7 linked regions of the Macaca fascicularis genome follow. The protein of the gene in region 3 interacts with the protein of the main gene of each other region in a biochemical or structural test. Links are inferred from orthologs where the notes say so. Each region holds a gene or a part of one and is shown on either strand. Other genes may lie near its edges. The genes, in order: LDB3, STAT3, SRC, MUC1, KIT, TAMALIN and ENO1.

Region 1 (4,263 bases), on a different chromosome or scaffold from region 3:
AGCACATACCTGCAGCTGAGAGGGGACAGGTCTCCCCAGTGCCTCTCTAGTAGTCCCAGTCAGAGGGGTGAGCAGGCCAGCATGGGAGTTGGGGTGAGAGGACACAGGAGATCCACCCATGGCCATCCCTGTCCTGTGAGCAAACGCCAGCCTCAGTTTGCCAGGCTCTGAAGTGAGGTAACAATCCGAGCCTCGCTTGCCTGCCCACCCCACAGGGTCACACACTCTTGCCTATGGTGCCCTATGGCACAGGCTCAGGTCCTGGCTGGGGTGGGAGTGGAGTTCCTCCAGAGAGCTCTGGCCATGCCTCCCCCGTAGGGGGATGTCCCTGGTGCAGAAGGGCCCTGCGAGCCCCAGCAGTAAATCCTACAGCCCTGGTGGGATGGCAGGGCTGTGTCCACAAGGCCTGCCCTGCCAGCGGCACGGAACCAGGACACAAGCCCAGGCTATCAGCAGCCCACCACCAAAATTTCTCAAGAGGTTCCAAGCCCCGGGAAGGGCTCCAGTTCCCAGTCCAGCCTGCTCCATAGCTCAGGTGATTTGGGGTATGCCCCTAAAGGAAGCCGAGAGGCCATCGTGCCCATCCCCCAGTGCCCTGCCTGGGCTTCGGGTTCTATTTTTAAAAGTCCCCCCAGTCATTGGATCCAGCACATCCCTGCATACCCCCTCCCCGGAGTAAGGACATTCCTCCTGTTATCTAGCTTAAGGCCTCTGGGCTGCCATTTAAGCCCCTGGCTGGCTGGGGCCAGGTGGCACATAGACCCTGGGTGAAGTCATTGGCTATCCTGAGTGCCAGTGAGCCCAGTGGCCAATTTGCACCCATAGGGATAGGGCAGGGAGCACCAGCAGGAGGCCTGGAGATGGTGGAGCTGGGGGAGATGTGGGCTCAGTCTCAGGCAGGGGAGGCCACAGGGCCCATGAGAGAGCACACAGAGGCTCCACCTTGTACAGGAAGGAGTCCTGCAAGCATGGGGGTGGGGAGCTGTACAGGGCAGTGGGAAATCCACTGGGGCTCACATGCCCGCAGGTCGCCACCTCATGCAAAGTGTGCAAAGCTGTGGGTTTCCAGGACCCTGTGGTCTCCAGGGCAGTAGATCTGGAGGGGTGGAGTCTCCAGGTTAGAACAAGCCACATCTCCAACTGAAGGATGGAGGGCAGGGCCTGTTCCCTGTGCCAGAGCCAGGCCAGCACCCACCCTGGAAGCATGTGGCCTCTATGGCTATTATAAGGCTCTCACAGCATCCCTGGGTGGGGCTTCTACTTCTGGGGTTCCCCCAAGTACCCATGGAACCAAAAACAGAGACTACTTCTCCAGTGGTGGCGTTGGCTCCTGACCCTCTGCCCAGGCTCCCTGGTCCCTCTGCCAAGCACCTTCAGGCCTTGCCCACTTCAGTGCTTCCCCTCCAACCCCTTCCTCCAGCCCCCAGGCCCAAGGCAAGTCTCAAAGGCCCCAGAGAAGAAACTGTCCCCTTGTTCCCCTAGTGGGGCAGTAGCCCAGATACCCCTGCCCACCCACTACCCTCTGGTGACAGCCTGGGAGCCTCCCGCTCCTGCCTTGTGACCAGAACAGCACGGCCAGGGGCTCAGCCACCAGGCAGGGTTGTCCTTGCCCTGTATGCCTCACAGTTCATCCTGAGCCTTGGGGTCTTCAGCCCTGGGTCTACCAGTGCCTTGCCGGGGAGTCTCTTTGTTTGACAAATACTGACGGAGCGCCTACTACGGTCTAGATGCTGTTCCCCCGTCAGTCCCTGTTCCTGGAGTGCTTCCTTGGGAGCATGGCTAGCTTTCTGCCTCTCTGGTGTTGCTGTCTCCAGCCAGGCAGTAGAGTTACTCAGACAACCCGATGTTCTGTGTCATCTGCATTAGGCCATGCTGCTCCCCATCACAGACACTGCAGGACAGGGGGCCATCTCACCAGGCCCCAGCGCTTGCGGGGAACAAGTCGTGAGACAGACAAAGCAGCCACGGTGAATGGGGAGGACCGCCCAGCCCCATGAGCCAGGGTGCTGGTGTCTCAAGTTTGGGATGGAGCGGGTGCCCAGTACTCAGTCCAGCCCAGCCCCACGCTCTGACAGCAGGACAGCCAAGGTCAGCAGCCTGTTTGTCCATCTATCCAACTGCCCATCACCTGCCCTCTCCATGCTGGGAATGCTCCCTTCCCAAAGCAGCTGCCCACATCTAGGGAAATGCTAAAGGCTTGGGGGCACCCTAAGCCCACTCTAACAGTGAAGGGATCAGGAAGGCGCTGTACTCGGTCCAGCTACCTGCCTGCCTGCCTGAAAACTCAGCATTTTCTTCTCTGCTAAAAACACCTACCACCTGCTCATGGTGTCTCACATGCATAACGGGCCGGCGGGCTCCTGTGAGCAAATAGCTGTGGCTGAGACCAGAGGACCAGGCCAGTCCCAGGGGATGGGGCATGCTCTGCTTTCTGAGAGGCTCAGAAAGGACAGACAGACAGACACACAGCGTGCCCGCCCCGTCGGGTGCCAGGCTGTGGCAGGGTGCACTCACCCGGGAAATAGTGAGGGGCATGTTGAAGTCCTTGCCCCCCTGCAGACGGAAGCCCCAGGGCCCAGGCCCAGTCAGGGTCACACTGTAAGACATGCTGGTGCTGTCAGCGGCCGCCTCTGCAGACAAAGGGTAGAGAGGGTTGAGTGAGAGGGCACTCAGGCACTCCGCCTGCCCGGTCCACACCTCTGCCCCTGCCCCTGCCCCTGCCCCTGCCCCCCGGCCTTGCCTGCTCTGTCCCTTGCTGCCCAGCTGGGCTGCGTGGAGCTCTTGAGAGGCTCCTAAGAATAGCTGGGAGCGAATGCCATCGACACTGATATCTGCCCTCGGCTGCGCCCATAAATGGACTGTAACCCTACACTGTCCCGCCCGCCTGCGGCCTCCCAGCCGGTCCACCGTGACTCACACGGCTAATATAGCCCCTGGGGAGGGGTGTCCGGCACCCAGCACCCCCCAGGGGGAGGAAGGGGGACTAGCCAGGTTGGTGAGAATGCTGTGGTCTCCTTGCTCCTGTGTCCTCTGGAGAGCGGAGACACTCGCTCTTCCTGCTCCGTGGTACCCATCCTCTTGCTCAGAAGACCAGGGGTTGAGCTCCCTTGGGCAGGGGCTTTGCAGCCATGTGGTCCCTGCCCAGGATTCTGGGGTTGTGCTTTATCCAGTGTGGGGTCCTGGAGGTGGCTTGGCCTGAACTGAGCCTGCAGCTGGTCTGTGACTGGCCCAGGGTTGTCCAGCCATAAAAATGATCATAATAGCAGCAGCTCCGGGCATAGCCAGCCTCAGCATGCGCCCTTCACTCCCTGGGATCCTGAGAAGTTGCCACCTGGACCCACAGGAGACAAAGCTCAGGGAGGTTAAATGACTTCTCCAAGGTCACACAAGGAGTGGACCCGGGCCACACTGGAGCCCGGGCTGATTCTTACAGGATGCATGCCAGATAATGGGCTCCCAATGGCCACAGAAGCCTCCCAAAGCCCTGGTCCTGGGCAGCTGGCCCTCTGCCTGCACCCCTTGGCACAGGGTCTGAAAGCAGGTCTGAGGTAGGCCCATCCCCTCCAGACCCTCTGGGGGCCCAGCCAGTTATTCCTGGCTCTCCTGTCTTATTTGTGCTCTGGAAAACTTGACGGCAGCATGGAAAGCTCCAGCTGCCAGTGCCACACGCCAGGCCCCGTGCCCTTTGCGCAGGAATGGCAGGGGGCAGGGAGAAGGGAGGAGACGCCATTTGCTCAGCTGCTAGACACAGGGCCAGGAGGGGCACGGAGGGGGAAGCACGTGTGGCATGTTCAGCCTGTACCCCAGAGACAGTGTGTTCTGGGTGGGGGGCCCAAGCATCTTGGGACTTCTGCCAGTGTGGTCTTTGGGCCAACCCCTTCCCCAAGAAAGACCTCAGGCCCCTATGTGGTCTGGAGATAGATCAAGGCCCACTCTGGCTCCTTGGTTGGAGAAACTGAGGCTCAGGGGAGGCAACTGGGTTGGCTGCTTGCTGGCCCTCTTGGAGAGCTCTGGCTTGGACCCTGAGGAGTCAGTAGAGGCCTAGGTATGAGTCATTTCTCAGCTTCCAGCCTCACTCCTGGGGCCTGGCACATGCAAGGTGCAAGGTACGATCACCCATATTACGGGGTTGTTTTGTTCTTGCCCAAAGTCACAAAACTATCAAGCGGAAGAAGCCGGGAAGACTGTCCTTTCCCCCGCTTAATCACCTCCTTCATCCTATATCACGCAGCCCAGCCCAGGAGGCCAGCAGTCCATGGCCAG
Region 2 (4,047 bases), on a different chromosome or scaffold from region 3:
TAGCTGAATTCTGATGGTAAATTATGCTGACCAAAAACAGTTCCTCACTTCCCAAGTTAGACATAGCAATTAGGTAGAAAAATAATCTAAGCAAGCTCCATTTGTATTTCTTTTTTCACGTGTTTATTGAATATTTACCTCCCATAAAGTCTTTCAGCCTGTTGGTGGTATTTTACTGTTCAGATATATGTTAGAATTTCACTGATACTGGGTGCGGTGGCTCACACCTGTAATCCTAGCACTTCGGGAGACGGAGGTGGGCGGCTCACGAGGTCAGGAGTTCAAGACCAGCCTAGCCAATATGGTAAAACCCTGGTCTCTACTAAAAATACAAAAATTAGCCGGGCGTGGTGGTGCGCAACTGTAGTCCCAGCTACTTGGGAGGCTGAGGCAGGAGAATCACTTGAACCCAGGAGGCAGAGGTTACAGTGAGCCAAGATTGCGCCACTGCACTCCAGCCTAGGCAACAGAGCAAGACTCCGTCTCAAAAAAAAAAAAAAAAAAAGAATTTCACTGATACTTTTCACAAAATATACAGAAGGCGGCACAAATTCCACCACTATGGCACTCTGCCGCCTTGGGCAAGTGTCTTGATCCTTTGGCCTCAATTTTCTTATCTACAATATTAGAGTAATTGTTATGTGAACTACCTACCTCACAAGTCCTTTGTGGGTCAATTCATAACTGTGCTGTGGGTATTTCTTTTTCTTTCCTTTCTTCCTCCTTTCCTTTCCTTTCTTTCTTAGAGACGGGTTCTCATTATGTTGCCTAGACTAGACTCTAGACCCAATTCCTGGCCTCTCACCATGTTGCCCAGACCAGACTCAACTCCTGGACTCAAGGAATCCTCCGGCCTCAGCTTTCAAGTAACTGGGATCAGAGGTGTGCACCACCATGCCTGGCACTGTGGATATTTTTAAGTGATTATTCTTCCCAAATGAACTACATAAAAAACAAAAGATTCATGAATTTACTAATGGTTCTTTGTGATGGATGTGCTAATACAGAGACTAAAATCAAGGCTCCAACCTCTAAAACATTTTTTTTTTTTAATTCCAGACTTGTTTCCCCATCCCACTGTGCAAACTGAACAAAAACTGGGCTAGCACTCCCGTCTGGAACATGTAATAAGGAAATAAATGTGCTGACTCAGAGAACACAGACATATTTAATATAAAATAAAATAGAAAACTGGCTGAATCAAGTCATAGCACAGTCTAAATCCACATATAAAAGATTGAGATGATTTTCTGCTTTGCTTTATTCAAGCCCAATGCTTTATCAGCACAGCCAGCCAAAAATTTACAACCCATGCACAGACTACGTAAACCTTTAGTTGCACATACAGTAAGACCAGCAGGTACACACTATACACATTTTTAACAAAAAACAATGACTAACCACTGATTTTGTCACCACACTTACAACGACCTGATATGGCACAGGGTGATGTGTATCAAACATGGAAATACCAACTTGGGCGACGGTTTGAATCTTGTTAACTTCAGTGCAACCACACCCCCCTAAATGCAGGTAAACTTAGCACACATGGTTTTGTCAAGGCCAGCCTGTCTTTGTTTCCCTCTCCTCTGCATTTACCCAAGATCTTGGCTCTGAGACACAGAACTCCCACTCTCGATTGGTTCATTCCGTCCTATGCAATTAAGCAACACCACAATCCAGTAAACGCAATGGCTCAATTATTTATCTTCTGGCCGACTTTACCAGGTATTTGGAAAAGAACATTGCCAAGAGATTTATTTATCTCTCTAGAGCTGGCTTGACGGGTTGACGGGGATTTTGTCTTTTTTTCCCCTCTTTTTTACATGGCGGGGGCGTGAGGGGAGCATAGTTTAACCTAGAAAAAGATGGAAGGGAATTTAGAAAGAGTACCGGTCTGTCAATTTCCCTACAGGAAACTTGATTCTTATGCAATAAAGCCTACCCGCGACCAGCCAGCCCGTGAGGCTGCAGGGGACAGACACACCTATTCCTGCCTCCAGAAGGGCACAGCTGGCTCCTGAAGGAGCGGGAACAGGGCAAGCGGAGGAAGTGGCTCAGAGGGAGCCGCCGGCCAGGCGGGGAGGAGGCGCTTTCCGACCCCCACCCGCGCCGGTGATCCCCGCCGGCGTGACAGTCGCTCCGGCGGCCGGAACGTCCCCAGGGCTCCAGGGAGCAGGAAATCGGGGGACTGTCCCTCACTCCTGCCGCCGCAGCCGAGTGCGCCCTCGCCCCACGGTGCCCCCTCGGGCGCGTTCTCACTGTTTCTCCGAAGAACGAAACTTCCCTCCAGCGCCCCGAGTCCCTTCCGAGGCCCGCTCCTGTCATCCCGAAGAGTCTTCCCTCAGGGCGACCCTCCGCGTCTCCTCATCTCTCCCCGCCCCACTGCAGCGTCCATCACAAAATCCCCAAGGTCCCAGAGGCCCCCAACCGCGGCGGCGCCCCCAGGTCCCCAGGCCTCCCCGACGGCCCCACCCTGCACCCCCTTCACCTGTTTCTCCAGCAGAGGCCGAGAGGCCGGGGCTGCGCGTGCGCCGGGGGCGGGCGACGGGGCTCCCTCAGGCCGGAGGGCTTATCCGAGCCGAGGGGGAGAGACAGCGCCGAGCCGGGGTGCCTGTCCAGGATCCGGTTGGGGCTTGTTCCCTCGGCTGCTACGTCGGAACCCCCGGCTCCCCCTCCCGGTCTACGCCGCCGCAGCTCCGGAAACCGCTGAATTACAGCCCCTTCAGCCAATCCCCGCCCAGCCCCAGCCTGGCCGAGGCACGCCGTCATGCATAATTCATGAACGGCCATTTCGCTCGGCCACCCAGAGGTCCCAGTGCGTGTGCGGTACCGACAAAGCCCCGCCCACTGACCAATGAAGAGAGCAGCTAGGAGAAAGGGCGGAGCCAAGAGAAGACTGATACGGCCCTGTGCTGGCTGTTCCGACAGTTCGGTGCTCCTCCCTCCGCCACAGCGAGGGAAGAGCCGAGGACTTGGGCACAGAAGCCCGGGGGGAGGGAGGGAAGATGACCGGAATGTCCTGCTGAAAACTCAGCTGAGTTCCTGGCAGTGCGTGACGTCAAGGCACTTTAAATGCCCCTGATACAGCTCCCTCCTGTCCGCTCTCCCTTTTCCCGGCCCTTGGCACCACGTGGTGGCGAGATTGAGAGCCTCTTACCACGTGGGAATCAGCCAGTTAGACAGTCCCCAGGTATCTCCAGATCCTCTGGGGACCCAACACCTGAATTGGGTTCTGGGGACAACAAAAAGAACATGAGTGACTCCGCCTGCTTTGAACTTCAGTTTCTGCGTGAGCAGGGACACACACACCCGGAAACATGACGTGGAAATAGAGTAAATACTAGAGTGCGTGGGGAGAAATAGTAGATTTAACCCCGTCCTCCGTTCCATCACTTCAAGCATCAAACTCCGACCAGCTAGCCCATTGGCCGGTACAGGCGAATGCAGAAGACGGTGTATACGAAAGTTGATACGTGTAGGGCTTGACATTTTTATGCGTCTGAATTGAAATACATGAAATGTTCCGCCTTTTTCGTTTCCACCTTGCCTACTTGGTATGCAAGTTTTGCTGAATTGAAGCCAGTGGTTCATAGGAAATGTAGACATTTTGCCTTTCATAATAGAGGATGAACTTTGCATAATGGAGTGATTTCTGTGTATGTGCTGATACTATCAGGGTTTTTAATTTTTATTTTTTTAGGGTCTTTAAAAATATGTTATTAATATTTGTGTTTGTTTAATACGAACCGGTATAAAGACAAAAATCTATAAAGGACCCATTATCTCACTGCTCAGATAACCCCTGACATTTTTTTTTTCAATGAAACTAATACATGTTCCTGTTTAGAAAATGCAGACCGTTCAGAAAGGTAAAAAATTTTAAATGAAAATCTTTCCCTACCCCCATCATTCCTTCTCCCCAGGGATAGCTATTCTTATTAATTTGTAGTGAGAAAAATCAATGACTCTTAACCTTTGAAGGGAGTCACAGATCCTTCTGAGTGTTTGAAGGAGACTAGATTCTAGCCCCAGAAACAGCACAAG
Region 3 (4,274 bases):
AGCATCTACTACATGCCAAGCCTCTACCTGCAGAAGCGCTTAGAATCTTCACCTGAGGATTCTCATTTCACGTATGGGGACTTAGTGGGGCAGTCTCTTGGCCCAGGTCACTGGGCAAGACAAGAAGCCTCAGTGCCTTGACTCCCCAGCCAGGGGGCTGAGAAGAGGGTCTGCAAAAGGACCAGCCTGGCCCACCCTAGAAACCAAGTCTGATCCCAGCTGCACTGTGGCTGTGGCTGGGCCTGGACTTACCCCAGGTGACCCAGCAACCACTGCCCCAAATTGTACAGAGTCCATGAAGTTCAGGAGGCCTTGCCCAGGGGCACACACAGGCTCTGTCCACTCCTAAGTCCACCTGAAGGACACAGGTGCTGAAAGGATACCACAAAGGTGAGCCCCTTCTGTTCACCCCATCCTTCCACCAGCCCAGCAATTCCAGCCAGGCCCACCTGCCACCAATGAGGACCCCAGTTCAGAGAGGCAGGCAGTTGTCTGAGGACACACAGCAGGGCAAGTGGCAGCCCTGGTGCAGGACTCAAACCCACCCCCAATCCCAGCCCAGGCAGACAGGTGGACCTGGCCCGGTGGCCAACACCCAAAACTTTTGCCAACTTCTGAGCCGGCTGGTGGCTGGGCCTGCTCTGGGGCGAGGCTGGGGGCTGTGGGCAGTGGAGACTAAACGCAGTCTGGCCCAGTCCCTTCCAGGCCGGCAGCACCAGGCCCTACCCGAGGCCCCAAGAGGGCAGGGAGGTCCTGGTGGTTCGGCCTGGCGCCCTGACTCCGGGGCCCCTCAGCCTGCCCTGCCGAGCCCCTCCACCTCCCACCCTGGGCCGGGGGGCGCAGGACCGGGCAGCCCAGCCAGAGGCGGCGCCGACTGGCTCAGATTTCAGATTTGGCCTAGACCTGGCCCGGGGGCTAGGGCCCAGCTCACCCGCTTCTCTGGGGGATCCTATGGGGAGCACTAGCTGGAGGGGGTCCCCACGCAGCCAGGACCCCTGCGTCCCCCCGCCCAGTCCCCTCCCCCCGCGGCATCACAACAAAAGGCCGCGCTGGGCATGGCCCTGTGCGCCCGCCCGGCGCTCGGGTATCGCAGCTCGGCCCGGGGGGTGGGAATTGGGGGGTGGACAGGAGCCCCCGCGGGCCCGCGATCCGACCCAGGTGGTCCAGGGCGGGGGCTCCCCCGCGCTGGCCGGGACTGGGGGCCCGCGGAGGGGCGGGGGGCGCTCACCTGGGCCGGCGGGCGGGCGGGCGCACCGGCAGACGGACGCACGGAAGGGCGGACCGCGGGACGGCCGGCGGGTAGGGCAGACGGCGGCCTGGCCGCTCCGGCTCCCAGGCCGGAATGGATTCCGGGCTGGGAGAGACAGATCGAGAGAGAAAGGGAGGAGGAGGAGGAGGAGGAGGCGGCGGCGGCCCGGGGAGGGGAAGAGGAGGGAGGGAGCGCGCGAGCTGGGAGGAGGGGCCCGGCAGGCAGCCGGGAGGAGGAGGAAGGAGGAAGCGCGCGGGGACGGATTCCCCGCCGGTGACCCGGGAGAGACCCAGGCACGGCCGGGGTCCGGGCGGGGTGGGGACACCGGGCACAGAGGCCCCGCCTCCCACTCCGCCAGGGCGTCCCACCCCGCGGGCCCCATCCGCCCCCAGGCCAAAATGCCCTCCTCGACCCACCCACCCTCTACGCCCCAAATCTGCCTCTCCCGAAATCACAATTAGTAATAATATCAGCGGGCGTGGAGCGCCCGCTCTGGGCCAGGCGCCAGGCTAAGGTGCTCAGGTCGACTTCAGGGTTTAATCCTAACCACCACCTGGCCTGAGTGGCGGAAGATCGCCCCACTTTACAGATGGGGAAACTGAGGCACTGACAAGAACCAGGCCCTGGACTTTAACCTTGACCTGAGTTTCTCAAAGTGGGGGCTGGGGCAGGAGGGACAGGGTGGGGAGGAGCGACCTTTATTTTAATAGTTGTGGGTTCATTTTAAAAAGTGCGTAAGGAAAAAACATCCCTGGCAGCCCATTGGAAGTACCCTAGTTCCAGTTATTACTGCTTAGGAGGGGTTGGCCAGGGCATCGGAGTGGCACTCACACTTCCAAGTAAGTAAAGAGGCTAAGTATCTCTGAACCAGGGCAGGAAGTGTAGCAGAAAAACGGGACATTGAGGAAACGCTGCTTTAGGCCACAAAGACTCCCCATCACCCCCTGGCACAGGCTCCAGGGCTATCCTTTTGGGGCTGGGCACCCCACCCTTGGCTCCTCACCTGTCCTGGAATCCTAGCACAGGGAAAGGTGGACCTGGGTCCTGCTTTAAATATCACACCTGCCTCCATGTTCCTTCTTTGAAAGTTCTCCCATTTCACAGATGGGAAATTAAGGCCCAGCCAGGTCAAAGACAAATAGAAGCCTTTGCCAAGCTTCTATTCCCTGGGCAAAGGTCCCCACTGAGAGGAGCCGGGAGGAGCACCCTAGAATGTGGAAGGCAAAGACCTCTGGGTACAAAATACCTTCCAGGAGACCAGGAATGAGCAAAGCCTTACTCTACACTGATCTAGGTTCGCATCTAGGCTAGCTGCCCCTCTGTTGTGGGGTGGACAAGTCCATCAGCTTCCCAGCCCAGCCCCCTCACCTGTAAAACCGGAGTGAACGTGGCCAGAGAAGATTCCTGGGAAGGCTGAAACTGACCAGTGTGAGGATGGTCGGGTTGTGCTAGATGAATAGTAGCTCTTCCGGTGATAAACTGAGGCCAAAGGGGAAAGGGGCTGCTTGAGGTGCCACAGCCAGTCAACAGCAGAAGCCAGGCGAAATGGCTGCCCTTGTTTGCAAGGCTGGCTTAAAGATTAACCGCAGCTTCTCAGGGCTAGGCGGGCCCCCGGCTGGAGAAGCAGGTTTCTCAGCCCTCTTCCATTCCTTAGACATGTCTAAAGGCCTTTACTGGCCGTACGGGGCTCGGGGGGAGGCAGGTATAGTCACCCAGTGACACGCTGGAGCTGGCCCTTGCCTACTTGCAAGAACCGACTGTGCTCATCTCTTCCCAAGTCCATATTCAAGAATGTCACACTGGTTAGCTCCATGTCAGCCACAGTGGGAGTATTTACCCCTTGGACATCAGAATACGCTACCAATGAAGCCTCTTTTTTCTTCCACAGAGCTGGTTGTTCAATATGTACCAGCACATCACTAAATTCATCCCCAGGAGTTCAACAGAAAATTCTGGGCTTTTCGAGAACTGGGATGACAGAGAGCTTAAAAGTACAGATTTTGGACCAGACCCAGGTTCAAGTCTCAACTCTGCCACTTTGCAGATAATGTAAGAAGCCTCAGTATGCCAACCTGAACAGTGGGCTAAAGATATCACAGCCCCCAGAAGACGCACGTAAGGATGAAATGAGGTGATGCCCGCTCAGCACATGTGAAATCTCATTCTCATTCATACCCTACACGCTCTTATCAGAGAGGAGGCAACTCAGACAAGTAAGGGTTCTGCAGGCAGATGCAGCTTCGCACCTGAAGCTACCGCGGGCTTCAAGGGCCTGGCTCAGTGGCTGAGGTTCTCAGGAGGATGTGGCCAGCACAATGGTTTCATTATTGAGCGTTTGAAGCGCTCTTTATTTTTAACCACCCCTCTGGGTTTTTGCTCAGGCTGTAACCCCTGCCAGGAATGCTCAGCCCCTGTCCCTGGCTACCTCGCCTTGTTCTTCAAAGTCCAGAGTAAATGCCACCTTCTCCACAACATGCTTCCTGACACACCCTGATGGAGGCACGTGCCAAGTCCATTCTGAGTGTGTCTGTCCCCACCCTGAAGGCAGTGACCAAGGCCTGGCCCATGCCCAGCACAGAGCAGGCACTGCCCAGTTGGCCAGGCAGCACACACTGACTTAGGACCTACAGACAAGAGTTCAAGTTCCAGCTCTTCCCTTCAGTGACTATGTGAACCTGCCTTCTCTGGGCCTCAGTGTACTCATCAGTAAAACGAGGGTAACAACCCTGGCAAGCTCCAGGATTATGCAGTTGGGAGTTGCGGGTCTGGCCTGGTGGACAAGTGACTCTTTGTGCAAATTATTTTGCTTAAAACATTCTTTGTTGGTAAAGCAGCAACTCACTGCTTAATTCCTGCAAATCATCATTAATGGACAGCAAGCATTTATTGACTACCAACTGTATACATGGCCCCAGACCAGTCTTAGAACACCAACAGGAACCACTTCCCAACCCAAAAGCACCCAGCAGATGATAGATGCTACTGACATCAATATTGCTGAGATGGTGAGTGCTGGTCGTATAGT
Region 4 (4,126 bases), on a different chromosome or scaffold from region 3:
GGAGTGCTTTCTGTCGGCGGGGGGGTGGGCACTGATCAGGGCCAGGGACTGCACTCACCAAGGCAATGAAATAGACGATGGCCAGCACAACCAGAACACAGACCAGCACCAGGAGCGCAATGCCCCAGCCTGGCACCCCAGCCCCGGTTTGGGCAGAGAAAGGAAATGGCACATCACGCACTAAAAGGAAAAGCAGTGGTTAGGGCAGTCTCCCAGAGGAGGTGCCCCTCTAACTGCCAGCACTAAGGAAAAAGTGGGGAACTAGACACTGGAAGGAGAGGGGCCCCAGCATGGTGCTGGGCTGCAGCCAGGGAAGTAGCCTCACCGCTGATGTCTGAGATCGTCAGGTTATATCGAGAGGCTGCTTCCGTTTTACGTTGATTGAACTGTGTCTCCACATCGTGGACATTGGTGGTACCTTCTCGGAAGACCAGAGTCGATTGTACCACCACAGATCCTGGCCTGGTCACAGGGAAATGGGCACTTCAGCCACAGGTCCCAGCTCTGGCTCAGGACTCTCCCCCAACCTTGAGTGCACCAGTCCCTCCTTAAGGTCATGACCAACACCCACCCTCCAACCACCACACTGAGTCCACACCCAGAACTATACCTGAACATAATATTGGAGAGGCCCAGAAAATCCCCTTGTTTATAAATCTGCAAAAACTGGGGTGAGAGGGAAAGGACTCAGGCTTGATGCAAAGGGTGTGGACAGTTCTGATGGCTGCTTCAGGGGAACATGGGAAAGGAAAGGCTGATGCTCACCAATTCAGAAATGTCTCTCTGCAGCTGTTGGTAGTAGTTGGTGCTGGGATCTTCCAGAGAGGAATTAAACTGAAGGTTTGAAATGTGAAAAGACAAGAAAAAGAAAGAGACCCCAAGAGACAACTGGGGAGAAGTGCTGTGATTGGAGGAGGTGAAAGGAGGTACTGTGCTATGGTGAGTGCTACTGGCATCAGTCTTGGTGCTGTGGCTGGCAAGGGTGGTAGGAGTATCAGAGTGGTGGCTGGGAATTGAGAATGGAGTGCTCTTGCTGGCTGGGGTGGTGGTAGCCCTGGCAGAGGTGGTGCTGTGTACCAGAGTGGAAGCTGAGCCTGATGCAGAGTCTGAGGCCGAGGTGACATCGTGGGCTGGGGGTGCGGTGGAGCCCGGGGGTGCGGTGGATCCCGGGGCTGCACTAGTGCCCGGGGCCGAGGTGACAACGCGGGCTGGGGGGCCGGTGGAGCCCGGGGCTGCACTGGTGTCCGGGGCCGAGGTGACTACGCGGGCTGGGGGGCCGGTGGAGCCCGGGGCTGCACTGGTGTCCGGGGCCGAGGTGACTACGCGGGCTGGGGGGCCGGTGGAGCCCGGGGCTGCACTGGTGTCCGGGGCCGAGGTGACAACGCGGGCTGGGGGGCCGGTGGAGCCCGGGGCTGCACTGGTGTCCGGGGCCGAGGTGACAACGCGGGCTGGGGGGCCGGTGGAGCCCGGGGCTGCACTGGTGTCCGGGGCCGAGGTGACAACGCGGGCTGGGGGGCCGGTGGAGCCCGGGGCTGCACTGGTGTCCGGGGCCGAGGTGACAACGCGGGCTGGGGGGCCGGTGGAGCCCGGGGCTGCACTGGTGTCCGGGGCCGAGGTGACAACGCGGGCTGGGGGGCCGGTGGAGCCCGGGGCTGCACTGGTGTCCGGGGCCGAGGTGACAACGCGGGCTGGGGGGCCGGTGGAGCCCGGGGCTGCACTGGTGTCCGGGGCCGAGGTGACTACGCGGGCTGGGGGGCCGGTGGAGCCCGGGGCTGCACTGGTGTCCGGGGCCGAGGTGACTACGCGGGCTGGGGGGCCGGTGGAGCCCGGGGCTGCACTGGTGTCCGGGGCCGAGGTGACTACGCGGGCTGGGGGGCCGGTGGAGCCCGGGGCTGCACTGGTGTCCGGGGCCGAGGTGACTACGCGGGCTGGGGGGCCGGTGGAGCCCGGGGCTGCACTGGTGTCCGGGGCCGAGGTGACATTGTGTCCCAAGGTGGTAGCCGAACCTGTGGCTGGTTCCATGGCCAGGGCTAGGGTGACGTCCTGTCCCTGAGTGGTGGAGGAGCCTGAAACGGGGCTGTGGCTGGAGAGTCTGCTGCTCATACTCACAGCATTCTTAGTAGAGATGGGCATTGAACTTCTTTGGGTAGCCGAAGTCTCCTTTTCTCCGCCTGGGGTAGAGTTTGTATGACCAGAACCTGTAACAACTGTTGTGGGTTCAGGGGCTGTGGCAGCTGTGATAAGTTAAACTAATAGGGTTGGGTTGAAGGAAAAATAAGAGCAAGAAGAAAATACAAGCTCTGGCCACCAGAGAAATAATACCAGGAGGACTGGGGAGTGGGCAGCCTCAGCAGCCCCTGGGTTGGCTGCCTCCTTCCCTGCAGCAGCCTCCTTCTGTCTGCCCACAGGCCTCAGCTCCTGGCCCCTGCATTTCTCCCCTCTTAAGCCTTCCCTCTCCCTACTCCCTTCCCCCTAGACTTCTCTTCAGGACATTTGCTTGCCCCTGGCACCCACTCTTTGGGGGGAGCATCTCTTCTCAGCCTGCCCTTAGCCTCTCCCTCCTTCTGGCACAGACAGAATTCTTGCCTTTCATGGTGCATCTGCCAGGGAGCAAAACCCACAGAAAGACCACGAAGACCACCTAAGCAGGGCAGCCCACTCCCCACCTTGTGCCCCTCACCTGTAAGCACTGTGAGGATCAGGAGCAGGAAGAAAGGAGACTGGGTGCCTGGTGTCATGGTGGTGGTGGACTGGGTGGGGAGAGGGCAGAACAGACTCAGGCAGGCGCTGCTTGAGAGGTGGAGCGGGCACAGGCGCCTGCTGCTTTATACCAGTCCCCCTGGCCCCCCTCCCCCCTGCCCGCCCGCCCTAGGCACAGCTGGAGCAGGTGACAGGTGACAAAACCCCGCCCCCTCCCCCTTCCCTACCTTCTACCTGTTCCTCCTCCTCCCCTACCATTCCTGTGTAGGCTACAAGGGCTCTAATCGCTCAACCCCCTGACTACCCATTTGTTCTCCAGCTGGCCTCCCCCTTTCACCAACCACTCCCTGGCTCCAGGGTGGAGTGGGGAGGGGCAGTCTGGAACCTGGGGCCCCTGGGCTCTAGTTTTAGCCCCAGGGCAACAACTAAGGTGGGAATGGGGAACAAAGACGGCTAGGTTGAGGTTCTGTACAGCAAGGCCAGGAAGCCCACCCCTAGGTCTCCCACTCCACTTCCCTGCCCTCCTTGGGTCCATTGAAGCAGAGCGGGGCCAAGAAATAAGAAGGCTGGATAATGAGTGGACTAGGTGCTAGTTTTGGGCTCCCTCCCCCCACCACTTCCCGGAATAGCCCCACCCTTCTAACCGCTCCCTGTCCCGTTCCAAACGCAGTTCTACCCTGAAACCCACAGTCCCCGCCCCAGCCGGACTTTCCAGCAGCCTGGGTTCCCTCCTTGGCATTCTCCTGAGAAGGGAGTGGGGGAAGAAATTTCCACTTAAGGGAGGAAACCTGGGCTCCGATGAACCCTAGGGTCCTTTCTTGCCACTGTCCACCACTGGCCAGGAGCTCCTCCCGCCCTCTAGTGGTCACCAGGAGCCTTGCGGGGCTGGACCGCGCCGGCTGAGGAGCTTTTCTGACCTGGCGGAGAGGAGTAAGGGCAGCGCTGCCTAAGTGGGGCAGCGAGAGCCCGCGAGAGGGAGGTAGGGCCCGGGAGAGAAGGGTCACTACCGTGGCCAGGGAGGGAGGAACGCACAGCATGGTGGACTTCTGGGAGCTTTAGGAGGGGGCACTCCTGGACGCGTGGTGGTGGCGTCTGGAGGAAATGGAGCTAAGCGGGTGGGGTCCTGAGGTATGTGGAAAGGGCACTGAGATATGTGGGAGAGGACATTGGAACGTGGGCAGAGGAGTTGGACACGTTCTGTGTGGGCCGTTATGTACTTAAGAGGCAGATCGGGCCGGGCGCGGTGGCTCACGCCCGTAATCCCAGCACTTTGAAAGGGCGAGGCGGGTGGATCACGAGGTCAGGAGTTCTAAGACCAGCCTGGCCAAGTTGGTGAAACCCCGTCTCTACTAAAAAATACAAAAATTAGCTGAGCGTGGTGGCGGGCCCTGTAATCCCAGCTACTCAGGAGGCTGAGGCAGGAGAA
Region 5 (3,500 bases), on a different chromosome or scaffold from region 3:
GGCATAGAGAACATTGTAGGAAAATGTCTCTAGACAAAATTGTTTTTAATTCCTTTATTGATTTTGGAACTACATAAATGATCCTTCAATTCCACCACCAGCACCACCACCACTTACCTTGTTGTCTTCCTTCCTACAGGGAAAACCCTGGGTGCTGGCGCTTTTGGGAAGGTTGTTGAGGCAACTGCTTATGGCTTAATTAAGTCGGACGCGGCCATGACTGTCGCTGTAAAGATGCTCAAACGTAAGTTCCTGTATGGTACTGTGTGCGCTTGACATCAGTTTGCCAATTGTGCTTTTTGCTAAAATGCATGTTTCCTATTTTAGCAAGTGCCCATTTAACAGAACGAGAAGCCCTCATGTCTGAACTCAAAGTCCTGAGTTACCTTGGTAATCATATGAATATTGTGAATCTTCTTGGAGCCTGCACCATTGGAGGTAAAGCCATGTCCAAACTGCCTTTTATTGTCTGTCAAGTTATCAGAACATGACATTTTAATATGATTTTGGCAATGCTAGGTTATAAAGTGCTTGGAAGATTTTTTACCCAGACTATTGTTCTCTCTTGCTAGATTTTGTTTTCCTTATTGTTCTTAAGAATGCAGGTTTTAATTTTATCATTATGGGGTAGAACAGCCCAGGACATATACTAGTTATTGTCGTGTTTGTAACATCAACAACATTGGCCTCTTGTATATCTTATCCCGACCAGAAGGCTTCTCTTATCTTGTAAGCTTTATATATTTCTTGATCATATTTAGCCACTGAAAGGGTTAATATTAATTTGCATACTATAATTTAAAATAGGCCCCTAAGCCTACTGGTTCTCAAATATACACCAAATGAGGCAAACATTTCACTTCTGTAAAAAATAAGTTTCCAATTCGAAGCCTTAGTTGAGGTTCCCATCGAGGATGTCTGTGATGTTCGCAGAAAGTATTTCAGTTGAAAGAAACAAAGATGTGTAAAATGAGCTGTTTCTAGAGATCCATGGTAAAGTTGACAGCTTTATATAATGTCTTCAAACAACCCCCATAAATGTTGCTTCACCACATCATGAATTGTTCATGAGAAAATTTCTTTCCTAAGTTAATTAGTTGCCTGTTACTTCCAAATTACAGTTTTAAACATTCATAACACCAAAATTTTTTTCAACTAGTAGTGCTCAGAACACAGGTCATTTTAGGTTTTCACTCACTTTCCAGTCTCGTCCCAGCTGGCTGCTCCATGTGACTGATTTTCCCACTATGCCGCAGTTTGTGCCTTCGTTATTTCCATAATAACGTTACAGCGAGTGTGTGAAGCCCTGCTGTAAACAGAAGTGAATCAAAGGATTCACGTAGGAAGCTTGATAATAGTAGAACCTTTGAAAGCAGTAACTTCTGTCTGTCAAATCAGCAATCACGCTTGGCCCCAAATACTAATGTCATTTGGAAATTCAGGTTAAAAGAGACTTGCTTGTTTTATGTTACTCCACATAATGCTGCTTTTTTGATAAGCAGTGTTAATATATAGGATTGTATTGGGACTAAGTAGGCTTATCCACTGAAGCTGAATATTAATGGCCATGACTACTCTTGGGTATTTTTATGGGAGGCAGAATTAATCTATATATCTCACCTCTTTCTAACCTTTTCTTATGTGCTTTTAGGGCCCACCCTGGTCATTACAGAATATTGTTGCTATGGTGATCTTTTGAATTTTTTGAGAAGAAAACGTGATTCTTTTATTTGTTCAAAGCAGGAAGATCATGCAGAATCTGCACTTTATAAGAATCTTCTGCATTCAAAGGAGTCTTCCTGGTAAGACTGATTTACATAAATAGTTAGCTGTTGACAGGCAGTTCATGGGGTCATAAGGGTTTGCAATCAAGGCTGATTCTTTAAAAAATGAACTGAGGTACTCTGAGGTATGAAATCAAAATTATTAAATCATTTAAATGTGATTAACAGTTTAGAAAGTTCAAATTGTGTTTTTAAAGATTCAAACTGTGTTAAACCTAGATTTTTGCTGATTTTTAAAAAATGCATTTTTAGTTTTTTTCTACACTTTAGTTTCACGCAACTGAATGAATTCTATTTCTGTTTCTCTTACGGTTCTGTCCTGCATGTATTTCCATTTATACCGTTGAGCTTGGTACTGTATGCATGTTTCCAGTGAGATACTGTTTATAGGGGAAATGCTAAAGCCTCTCAAGTTGCCACAATAAAGTCCCTTTAAAACCTTTAGCAGAATGACAAAGAGCTCTGAACTTATCTCTACATGTAGGCTTTTTGCTATTGACCTCTGGATTATTCCTATATACCTTGCCTCTTGCCCCTTTTAATTCATCATGCTATTAAAAGTCGTAACTATTCCAGCACGTTTTTAAAAATTCTGGACATTATTTTCATCTCTTTCGTCATTGATGCCATTCTGAATTTGAATCATGTATAAAGAGCTTCGAGTTTGATTTACAACCAGAGAAGAATTCTTCTCATACCTTGCCTATTCTTTCTTTGGAAATGCTGTTAAGAGCCACCATTTGAGAAGACTTCCTGGATGTACCCAGTCCAACAGAAGTCATGGTTATTTCACCCAGTCCCCTATACTGTATATTGCTGCAGTTGTGTGGTAGATTTTTCCTAACCTTTTTATGCACTTTATATCCACTGCATCTTGCGATGACAAGACATTGCCTCCTGAACTCTTAACACCAGGCCCTCAAGGAGACCTCAGTAAATGTTATTGATGGGCAATTACCTCTTAAAGCCATTTTCTGTACCTCTGACTGAAGTTTAAAACCACAGGTGAAACTTTTATGTTTTTTTAATCCTATAAACTTGAGTAATGTAAAGTGGTAGTAGAAACTGTACAAAACCACTTTTTGTTAGTTTCTCCTGGGCATGTGCTCATTATATGAAGAAACCCAATGAGCCATTTTGCTTCTTTCCGAAACCTTGGCCCTATATATATCCTTTAACTTTCTGATATAATGGCCTAAATTGTTCAATCCTGTGTGATGTTCTTTGTGCTTTGGGATCCCATATGGGATTGGAACCACCAGCACACTCTGAAGGAGATTGTTGTCATGGTGTTTCTATGCTAATCAGAAGCAGGAAGTACTAGAAATCTTGAAGAGTCTCCAGCCAAATGTTGCAGACTGAAGAGGTCCAGATGGTTCAGAAAATCATCCAAATTATTGGTGTTTATCTGAACCAACTTGATTTTTTTTTAAAACCTTTTTCCATCAGTCACTATATGTTAACGATCTCTGCCTCCCCCATAACACATCTTGGAAGCTCTTCTTTGTCTTTCTTTCATCTTGTCTCCTGGGGCTCATTTAGAGAGTCTGAGGTGATACAGGATAGCATATTTGGCTCTCTGTCTCCCATTAAATTCATTGTGTCAAGAGATGGGAAATTTCTAACCTGAGTCCTCTATATGATTAAACACAAAAAGGACACCTAGTTTCTGGGCATGGACCCCAATATCAAATATTAAAAAGTCATATCTTACAG
Region 6 (4,233 bases), on a different chromosome or scaffold from region 3:
AGGGAAACTGAGTAGAGAAGGGAAACTTCTGCCCACACTCAGATCCCTCCTTAGAGGGCTGCCACAGGCTGGGACCAGAAGAGGACTGACATTCTGGAGGCAGGGGTAGCCAGCCCCAAGCAGCTGGACACAGCCTGGCTAAGGTCTGGGCCCATGGGGTTTGCCAAGGTTGGGAGGGCTCAGGGGAGCCCAGGAGGCCTGGGTTAGGACATTCCCCATAGGCTTTGCCTACACCCCCTCCCACCTCCCACATCCGTTCATCCAGATCTCCCCAGGGAGGGGTAACTGGCAGGGACTGGGGGTGGGTTGAAGAGCACCTAATGACTCAAAAGTCCCTACCTCCTTTCTCTGCCACCCCCTTCACACAGCCCACACCCCCACCTGCCCCTCACTCTCAGCGGGGGAGCCATGCTTAAAGGCTAGGAGAATGACTACCCTTGCTAGGCTGAGATGCTGTCCTGGCACCGCCCAACCCAGCACCTCACCCCTTTGGACCATGGCAGGGGCTGGGTGCTGGTGACTCACCGCTGCTGTTCAGGACTCTGGCTGAGATTCTTCCAGCGGAATCCTGAGCCCTGGGCAGGAAGATGGTCAGAAGGAGCAGGTGAGGCAGGACTGTCCTTGAGCAGATGCTGAGAGTGCTACCCTGGACACAGCGACCCACTTCCTGTTTGCCTCTTGCAACTCCACATCCACACCTGCTTTGGTGCTGGTACAACTATTTGCCAAGTGTCACTACTGGCACCACTCCCCAACTTTCTCTACGGCCTTACCTTCATACCTGAGATTGCAGGGACACAACCATCCTCCTGGGTTCCAGATCCATGAACCTCTAAGCCCTTGTTGGTTTCCACACTGGCAGTGGGTGGGGAGATCATTATTCTAGAATGGTCTCCATCCCGAGGGCCCATGTCTGTAGAGGCTCAGGCCATCCAGACTCCCAAAGCTGAGGCAGGGGCTCTTCCCCAGTGGGATTCAGAGGATAGGTGTCCCCTGGGCTCACCTATCAAGGTGCTCCGAGGACCTTCTGCCAGTTGGGTCTCTCCATCTAATTTCTCAGCTACAGACAGTGGCTTGGGAGGGCTAGGGTCAGGGACCCCGGCCTGAAGGGCTGGCAATCCCAGCCAGAATGTGGGGACATAGGTGCCAGGTCTCCTAAGGTACAGCCCGTTTCAGGGACCAGTTGTGGATCCCAGCTGCAGGTGACCAGCTGTGCCCAGCTACACCTGGGTCTCTCTCCATTGTCATACATTTTGTGCTTTCTGGGACAAAACATCTTAGATGTCAAACTTGTCAGTAAGTCTCACTAAAGGAGCGAGATCGGGAGTTCTTTTGGGGCAGGGGGGTGGGGGAAGGATGAGAGATGAAGGTTCCTGTCTCTTCAGGGTCCTTGATAAACTAGTCTCTTACCCTCCCTAACTTTTTGGTCCTTGGAGGAGGTCCAGTCCCAGAGCAGCCCTTTCCTTTGGAGCCTGCACAGCCCAGGGCCTTTCTGGTCTGTGCCTTTGCTAACCCTCCCCCCAAGCTGCCCAAGGCAAGGAAGGGAAGGGTCAGAACCAGATTGGCCTCAGGGGTGGGGACAGTTCCCAAATGGCCAGGGAGGAAGGACTGGGCAGCACAGAGAGACCCCTTTGTCTTTCAACATGATTTTCATAAAATGCAAATTCTCAACAAGCTGTTCATTGTGTGGGGGCTAGCTGGGGGCCAGGGGCAAAGGAGGGTGGCTGGGTGAGGAAAGGCCACCAGGCCCCTCTCCTTAACCTGGTGGTGTGTAGGTTCTGAGCCTCAGGTCCCCTGGGGCCAGAGGAAGAGGCTGGCGGAGGGGAGACTCCGAGGTAGGCGCGGCCCGCATCCTTCCTGCCCCGTGGGCTCCCTGCGACCCCTCCCACTACGTCCGGTTCCGGCAGAAGTCCAGGGAGCTGTGGCCCTCGCGCCCCGAACATCAGACGTGGGGCCAGGCGGCAGGCCCCGAGCCCAGGAATCGGGGAGTCCCCTCGGAAGGGTGTGCTCTCCGGAGTCAGCGGCGCCCCACGCACTTCCTCAGGGTGAGAACGCACGCGGCACGGCCACCGGCCCACCTCTCCCACCGGGGGCTCTCAGACCTTCAACTTGTCTAGGGCCGTCTCTGCCCCTGGGGCGAGGGGATCCTGGGGATTCAGGACACCTGGCCACGAGGAGGCGGGGCATGGGGAGCAGAAAGCCAGATGGAGCGAGTAGGATAAGGGGGGTGCCGGGAGGAGTCAAGGAGGGAGAGAGGGGGCGCGATGGGGCGGCGCGTATAGGGCGAGGAGTTGAGAGCCACCGAGCCTGGGCACGGTGTGCAGGCGAGGGCCACAGTCTTCGGAGCAGCGGGGAACGCGGGGGAGTCGAGGCACCCAGCGGGGAAGAAGGTGGGTGGGGGACTCCGCGGACGCCGAGGAGAGGGCACTGCGGGGTCAGCAGGCCCTGTAGGGGGACGGAGTGGGGCTAAGCAGGTCCTGAAGGCGGGCGGGGGACGCACCTTTCGGCGAGGCAGGGTGCCCCCGGACACGGCGAGCGCGCGGTACAGCTCGGCAGGGTGATAGTCCTCCAGCGCCGCGTACAGCTCGTCCGCTGGGGGCCCAGGGGTGGCGGCTGCTGCAGGGGGTCCCGGGGTCGGGGCCGGAGCTGCGGGCGCGACTTCCGAGTCGGGAGCCCGGGCGGCGGGGTCCGGGGTGGCCGCCGCCTCCTCCTTCTGCTGCAGCTTCCTGAGTCGGCGGAGGGTCATGGCTTCGGCGCCGGGCGCCGGGTGGAGACGGCGGTGGCTCCGCTCGGGGATGCCAGCCGGGCGAGCCTTCCGTCACCTCCCTTTATAGGCTCTGAGAGGGGGGCGGGGTTGGGGGCGGGCGGGGAGCGGCCTCGGGTGGCCTCGCCCCCAGCACGCAGGACCCTCCCCACGGGGCGCAGCCGCCCTGGAGCCCCGCCCACGGCGCTCGACGGCCCGGGAAACTGCGGGAGCTGGGCGCTCGGTGGGGGAAACCGAGCAGCGGACGCGAGGGGGCGGGATGAGGCCCCCAGGGCGGGGCTCGGGGCTGCGTGATACCTGGAGGGGTCTGTGAAGGGACGTTGAGCAAGGTTTGACATTTAGGTAAGGATAGCTCTGGCGATTCATGGAGCGGGGCACGGTAAGAGGTCACTGTAGGAAGCCTGGGGAGTCAGGGAGGTGGGGAGAGTCAAGGAGATCCAGGGGGCTGCAGGAGACTCTAGGGCAGGGAGAGAGGCAGCGGGGCTGCGCAGCAGTAGGGGTGGAGGCCGGACAGAGGAGGGAGGAGACTCCCTGAACTCTGCACAGAAGCCCCCAGGGAGTGAGAGGGCCCAGGATTTTCCCTTGACACAGCTGCCCCAGAAGAGCTGAAAGAGGCTGCCCCCTGTTCCCACGTCTAGGAGAAAGGGAAGAGATGGAAACCCTGAAAGCAGTAGGCTTAATTCTGGCCTATCCCCTCCGAGGGGCTTGAGTGATCCCTGCTGAACACACCTTTCCTCAGCTCCTGATGCCAGGCCCAGATCCCCCTTCCCAGCAGACAGACGCTTACTATGGACTTGACTCAGGAGGTTGGGATGAGCCCAGGCCGAATCGGAGTTCAGGGCTGCGGGGGGGATGGCCATGCTCAGCCGTTCTCTGACCCCATCGTAGGGACCATCCCCCAGGCTGTTACCATGGCTGCCAGGCGGTAGGAGAGGCGGGAATGGCCCAGCCGAAGTCTCTGTCGTCAGTGGTGCCCGAATAAGAAGTGAGAGGAGGAAGTGGAAGGCAGCGTCTGGTGTCTAAAGAGCGGCTAGCCACCACAGGGCGTCAGCAGCACAAGCTGGGGACTCCATGTCCCAGCACCCATCGACCAAGAAGCAGAGGCGGCAATGCGGTGCCCCTGTCTGTCCCCTCCTCCCCCAGTCTTCCCAAATCTGTTATGCCTTCACAGTTAACATTTATTGAGCACTTACCATGTGCAATGCACACTGTTTGTTCTGTGTGTCCTTTTACATACATGCATTAACTCACTTGGTCTTCATAACAACCCTACGAAATAAGCACCATTATCCTCCCTTACAGATGAGGAAACTGAGGCCCGGAGAAGATAAGTAACTTGCCCTAAGTCACTCAGCGGCAGAGCTGAGATTCAAAGCCAGACAGCCTGGTTGCAGAGCCTGCAATCTAACCACTCTGTGCTGTTATCCAACATTTAAGCCCTGCTCTGTGCCAGGTACTGGCTGGGCCCT
Region 7 (3,500 bases), on a different chromosome or scaffold from region 3:
CAGCCCATCAGTTTCCTCTCCTGTAGAAGTCACAGTCCCTATCCTGTGTACACACAGAGCCTAAAATGAATATTCCCAGCTCACAGGAAGCATAATACATCTCTAACAAGTGGCTATTCTAATTCTGAAGGCTTGGTTCCCTCGCCTGTCTAATGGAGCACAGACCGCTGCTGGCACCTGAGCTCCTTAGCTACACAAGAACCTCTGTGAAGCCCTGTGTACGTACAACTGGGGGGAAGCCCCCTGATGAATCCCCCACGGGAGCCAGAGGTTCAGACACACCCTCCCCATCCCCAGCCAGCCAGATGCTCCAGCTGCCATGCTACAGGTCGGTGGCAGGAAAGGAAGATGGCACTCCAGGAACACTCACCTGGGTAGTCCTTGATGAAGGACTTGTACAGGTCAGCCAGCTGATCAGGTGAGATGTACCTGCTGGGGTCATCGGGAGACTTGAAGTCCAGGTCATACTTCCCAGACCTGAAGAACTCGGAGGCTGCTACGTCCATGCCAATGACCACCTTATCAGTGTAGCCAGCTTTCCCAATGGCAGTCTTCAGCAGCTCCAGGCCTGGGAAGAGATGGTGGCAACAGGTTTGGAAAACAGGTAGGTTCCCTTCAACAGCTGTTACACATGGACTGTAACACAAAGGTCAAGAGGTGTTCAGGCCCCAACCAGTAGTTTCAACAACGTCAGTTACTTTTTTTCTGCTTTGGGGCAAGAAACCATGGGCCAGAGCTCCTGGTGTAGACTAAATGGGAAATTCAGCACAGCTTCCAAGAAAGTAGCCTTTCTCCCTGACAAATGCTCCCAAATTTAGTGCCCAGGAACAGCTGTCCTGGCCAAGATACAGTTACAGTAACCAGCTGAGATCAGCTGTCTCAAGACACAGGCCTTAAATAGAGCTGAAGCGGGATCCAAGAGAAAGCCCAGTGGAGGCAGCCCTGGGTGGCAGGATCCTCCTGCCAGGCTGTGCTGTTGAGAGTTCAGGCTCAGGGTCTGCCATCCATGGCTAAGCTGTCCTGCCAGCAGGACAGATGGACAGACACCTGGCTCCCCAAGCTATTAGGTATTGCTTGAGCCCAGGAGGCAGAAATTGCGCCACTGCACTCCAGCCCAGGCGACAGAGACTCCGTCTCAAAGAAAGAAAAAAATAAGTAAAATCAAATGAAGCTCCCCTTTCCCTCCTTAAAACCCTGTTTGAAGGGTCTTGATCTTTACAAACTACAGGTGGAATGAAAACCTTTTCCACAGAGGCAGGTGTGGACAACCCCTGCACAGAGGGAGTTGGTGCTGCAGGGCTGGGTGGGTGGGTGGGGATTCCCCAGCGCCTTTACCTTCTTTATTCTCCAGGATATTGGGAGCAAACCCGCCTTCATCCCCCACATTGGTGGCATCTTTCCCGTATTTCTCCTTGATGACATTCTTCAGGTTGTGGTAAACCTCCGCTCCAATGCGCATGGCTTCCCTGAAGTTTGCTGCACCGACTGGGAGGATCATGAACTCCTGCATGGCCAGCTTGTTGCCGGCATGAGAACCGCCATTGATGACATTGAAAGCCTGGGGAGAGAACAGAGAAGCATGGCACCGGGCCCAGAGAGCCCCACAGGGCAACAGGCCCCTCTGGTCCTACCATCCCCATCTAGTTCACAGATGAGCCCAAGACTTGCTCCTTGAGGAGCATCAGTGGGGTCAGGGTGGCCATGAAATGCTCACCAGGTCTCTGACTCATGTTTTTAGAGACAGGATCTGACTATACTGGTCTTGCCCAGGCTGGTCTCAAACTCTTGGGCTCAAGTGATCCTCCTGCCTCAGCCTCTTGATTAGCTGGGACTACAGGTGTGCACTACTGCAACCAGTTCATACCAGGTCTATTTTGATAACTGCAAATTCATGATCATCAGGAGAAACGCTAGTGACTATGTCAGCTAATGCTCACAGCCTAGCAAGGAAAGTACTGCTGTCATTTCCTACCCGAGCCTCCACTGCAAATGAAGGACCTGGGGCACAGGCAAGTTGAATTACCTGCTCAAGGTCACACTTAACAAGGGGCAGAGCTGTGCTGGGAGAGTCACATGTGTTAAGAGATCAAGGCACAGGAGGTCTTGGTCCCCAAGAGCAAGCTGAAACCCCCAACTCCTTGCTTGGGAAGTTCCAATAAACCACTCACCGGGACTGGCAGGATGACTTCAGAGTTGCCAGCCAAGTCAGCGATGTGGCGGTACAGGGGGACCCCCTTCTCAACAGCACCAGCTTTGCAGACGGCGAGGGACACCCCCAGAATGGCGTTCGCACCAAACTTAGCTAGAACAGAAGAGAACCGAGTGGAATGAAGTCATTTCTGACTCACCGGCTTTTCTCCTGCCATCTCCTCCCCCATCACACTGTTACTAGAAATGCAAATAGCATTCCCTGTGGACTCACCACTGCTTTTCCCCTCTAAGAGAGAGCCCAGCTCTGGCCAACTATAGGAACTGCTGAATTCATTATAAGGAGCAAAGCTGTTCCGAGTAACCGAACTGACAGGCTATTATCACCTGGTTTTGCTCCTGATACTCCAAAGTGTGATTTCTCTTTTTTTGGTTTGAGATGGAGTCTTGCTCTGTTGCCCAGGCTGGAGTGCAGTTGCGTGATCTCGTCTCCCCCATTCATGCCCTTCTCCTGCCTCAGCCTCCCGAGTAGCTGGGACTACAGGCGCCCGCCACAAGGCCACAAGGCCTGTATAAATTTTTTTTTTTTTTTTTGAGACGGAGTCTCGCTCTGTCGCCCAGGCTGGAGTGCAGTGGCTAGATCTCAGCTCACTGCAAACTCTGTCTCCCGGGTTTACGCCATTCTCTTGCCTCAGCCTCCTGAGTAGCCAGGACTACAGGCGCCCGTCACCTCGCCCGGCTAGTTTTTTTGTATTTTTTAGTAGAGTCGGGGTTTCATCATGTTAGCCAGGATGGTCTCGATCTCCTGACCTCGTGATCCGCCCATCTCGGCCTCTCTAAGTGCTGGGATTACAGGCGTGAGCCACCACGCCTGGCCAAAAGTGTGATTTCTTAAGAGTGACGCAAAGAAATGGGAGGAGACGACAGGCTCATTTAGCTTGTCACTAAGATCATGGACCTCTTCCTGAAAGTTGTTAAAGTCTTTAGGAGACTTCATGATCTTCCCCAGTAAAGATGCCTCCTCGGGCCACTCACATTTATTTTCTGTTCCGTCCATCTCGATCATCAGTTTGTCAATCTTCTCTTGTTCTGTGACGTTCAGTTTCTAAGAGGGAGAGGAGAGAATGAGGGGTTGGTGTCACTCTTATCTGCACAGCCTTTGCTCCCCTACCATGGAATCTGACTTTGGAACTATGTAAAATAAAAATCAATTCTGTGATGTTTGTTTTATAAGCAAAAAAAGTGGAGGACAAAAATCAATGGTGAGACAAAAAACTGCCTTCTGCTTGCTTTGATGGTGTTTCATTCACCCAACAATGAAACAGAGATGGACGCTCTCAGACACAATGCTT

Evidence for each region.
Region 1: the proteins of SRC (region 3) and LDB3 interact in a test that uses a peptide from one of them, tested with the Homo sapiens proteins (2 studies listed by IntAct, with this or other methods). The link is inferred for Macaca fascicularis from reciprocal best matches to the Homo sapiens genes SRC and LDB3.
Region 2: the proteins of SRC (region 3) and STAT3 form a complex in vitro, tested with the Homo sapiens proteins (3 studies listed by BioGRID). The link is inferred for Macaca fascicularis from reciprocal best matches to the Homo sapiens genes SRC and STAT3.
Region 4: the proteins of SRC (region 3) and MUC1 form a complex in vitro, tested with the Homo sapiens proteins (2 studies listed by BioGRID, with this or other methods). The link is inferred for Macaca fascicularis from reciprocal best matches to the Homo sapiens genes SRC and MUC1.
Region 5: the proteins of SRC (region 3) and KIT form a complex in vitro, tested with the Homo sapiens proteins (3 studies listed by BioGRID and IntAct, with this or other methods). The link is inferred for Macaca fascicularis from reciprocal best matches to the Homo sapiens genes SRC and KIT.
Region 6: of the proteins of SRC (region 3) and TAMALIN, one has a biochemical effect on the other in vitro, tested with the Homo sapiens proteins (2 studies listed by BioGRID and IntAct, with this or other methods). The link is inferred for Macaca fascicularis from reciprocal best matches to the Homo sapiens genes SRC and TAMALIN.
Region 7: of the proteins of SRC (region 3) and ENO1, one has a biochemical effect on the other in vitro, tested with the Homo sapiens proteins (4 studies listed by BioGRID). The link is inferred for Macaca fascicularis from reciprocal best matches to the Homo sapiens genes SRC and ENO1.

What each region holds. Positions count from the first base shown.
Region 1 is NC_088383.1:59,967,723-59,971,985, forward strand, and holds the start of LDB3 (LIM domain-binding protein 3), read right to left. Parts: upstream 2,801-4,263; 5' UTR 2,741-2,800; intron 2,631-2,740; 5' UTR 2,608-2,630; coding exon 2,515-2,607; intron 1-2,514. UniProt on the Homo sapiens protein: May function as an adapter in striated muscle to couple protein kinase C-mediated signaling via its LIM domains to the cytoskeleton.
Region 2 is NC_088390.1:63,447,410-63,451,456, forward strand, and holds the start of STAT3 (signal transducer and activator of transcription 3), read right to left. Parts: upstream 2,801-4,047; 5' UTR 2,794-2,800; coding exon 2,492-2,793; intron 1-2,491. UniProt on the Homo sapiens protein: Signal transducer and transcription activator that mediates cellular responses to interleukins, KITLG/SCF, LEP and other growth factors. Once activated, recruits coactivators, such as NCOA1 or MED1, to the promoter region of the target gene.
Region 3 is NC_088384.1:93,453,257-93,457,530, reverse strand, and holds the start of SRC (proto-oncogene tyrosine-protein kinase Src), read right to left. Parts: upstream 2,801-4,274; 5' UTR 2,618-2,800; intron 1,345-2,617; exon of another isoform or gene 1,229-1,344; intron 372-1,228; exon of another isoform or gene 253-371; intron 1-252. UniProt on the Homo sapiens protein: Non-receptor protein tyrosine kinase which is activated following engagement of many different classes of cellular receptors including immune response receptors, integrins and other adhesion receptors, receptor protein tyrosine kinases, G protein-coupled receptors as well as cytokine receptors.
Region 4 is NC_088375.1:105,950,493-105,954,618, reverse strand, and holds the start of MUC1 (mucin-1), read right to left. Parts: upstream 2,801-4,126; 5' UTR 2,739-2,800; coding exon 2,681-2,738; intron 2,208-2,680; coding exon 766-2,207; intron 667-765; coding exon 611-666; intron 463-610; coding exon 326-462; intron 181-325; coding exon 59-180; intron 1-58. UniProt on the Homo sapiens protein: The alpha subunit has cell adhesive properties. Can act both as an adhesion and an anti-adhesion protein. May provide a protective layer on epithelial cells against bacterial and enzyme attack.
Region 5 is NC_088379.1:79,167,226-79,170,725, reverse strand, and holds part of KIT (mast/stem cell growth factor receptor Kit), read left to right. Parts: intron 1-139; coding exon 140-244; intron 245-327; coding exon 328-438; intron 439-1,651; coding exon 1,652-1,802; intron 1,803-3,500. UniProt on the Homo sapiens protein: Tyrosine-protein kinase that acts as a cell-surface receptor for the cytokine KITLG/SCF and plays an essential role in the regulation of cell survival and proliferation, hematopoiesis, stem cell maintenance, gametogenesis, mast cell development, migration and function, and in melanogenesis.
Region 6 is NC_088385.1:58,841,959-58,846,191, reverse strand, and holds the start of TAMALIN (protein TAMALIN), read right to left. Parts: upstream 2,801-4,233; 5' UTR 2,747-2,800; coding exon 2,501-2,746; intron 2,046-2,500; exon of another isoform or gene 1,906-2,045; intron 576-1,905; coding exon 526-575; intron 1-525. UniProt on the Homo sapiens protein: Plays a role in intracellular trafficking and contributes to the macromolecular organization of group 1 metabotropic glutamate receptors (mGluRs) at synapses.
Region 7 is NC_088375.1:225,992,734-225,996,233, reverse strand, and holds part of ENO1 (alpha-enolase), read right to left. Parts: intron 3,254-3,500; coding exon 3,184-3,253; intron 2,303-3,183; coding exon 2,169-2,302; intron 1,559-2,168; coding exon 1,336-1,558; intron 569-1,335; coding exon 371-568; intron 1-370. UniProt on the Homo sapiens protein: Glycolytic enzyme the catalyzes the conversion of 2-phosphoglycerate to phosphoenolpyruvate. In addition to glycolysis, involved in various processes such as growth control, hypoxia tolerance and allergic responses.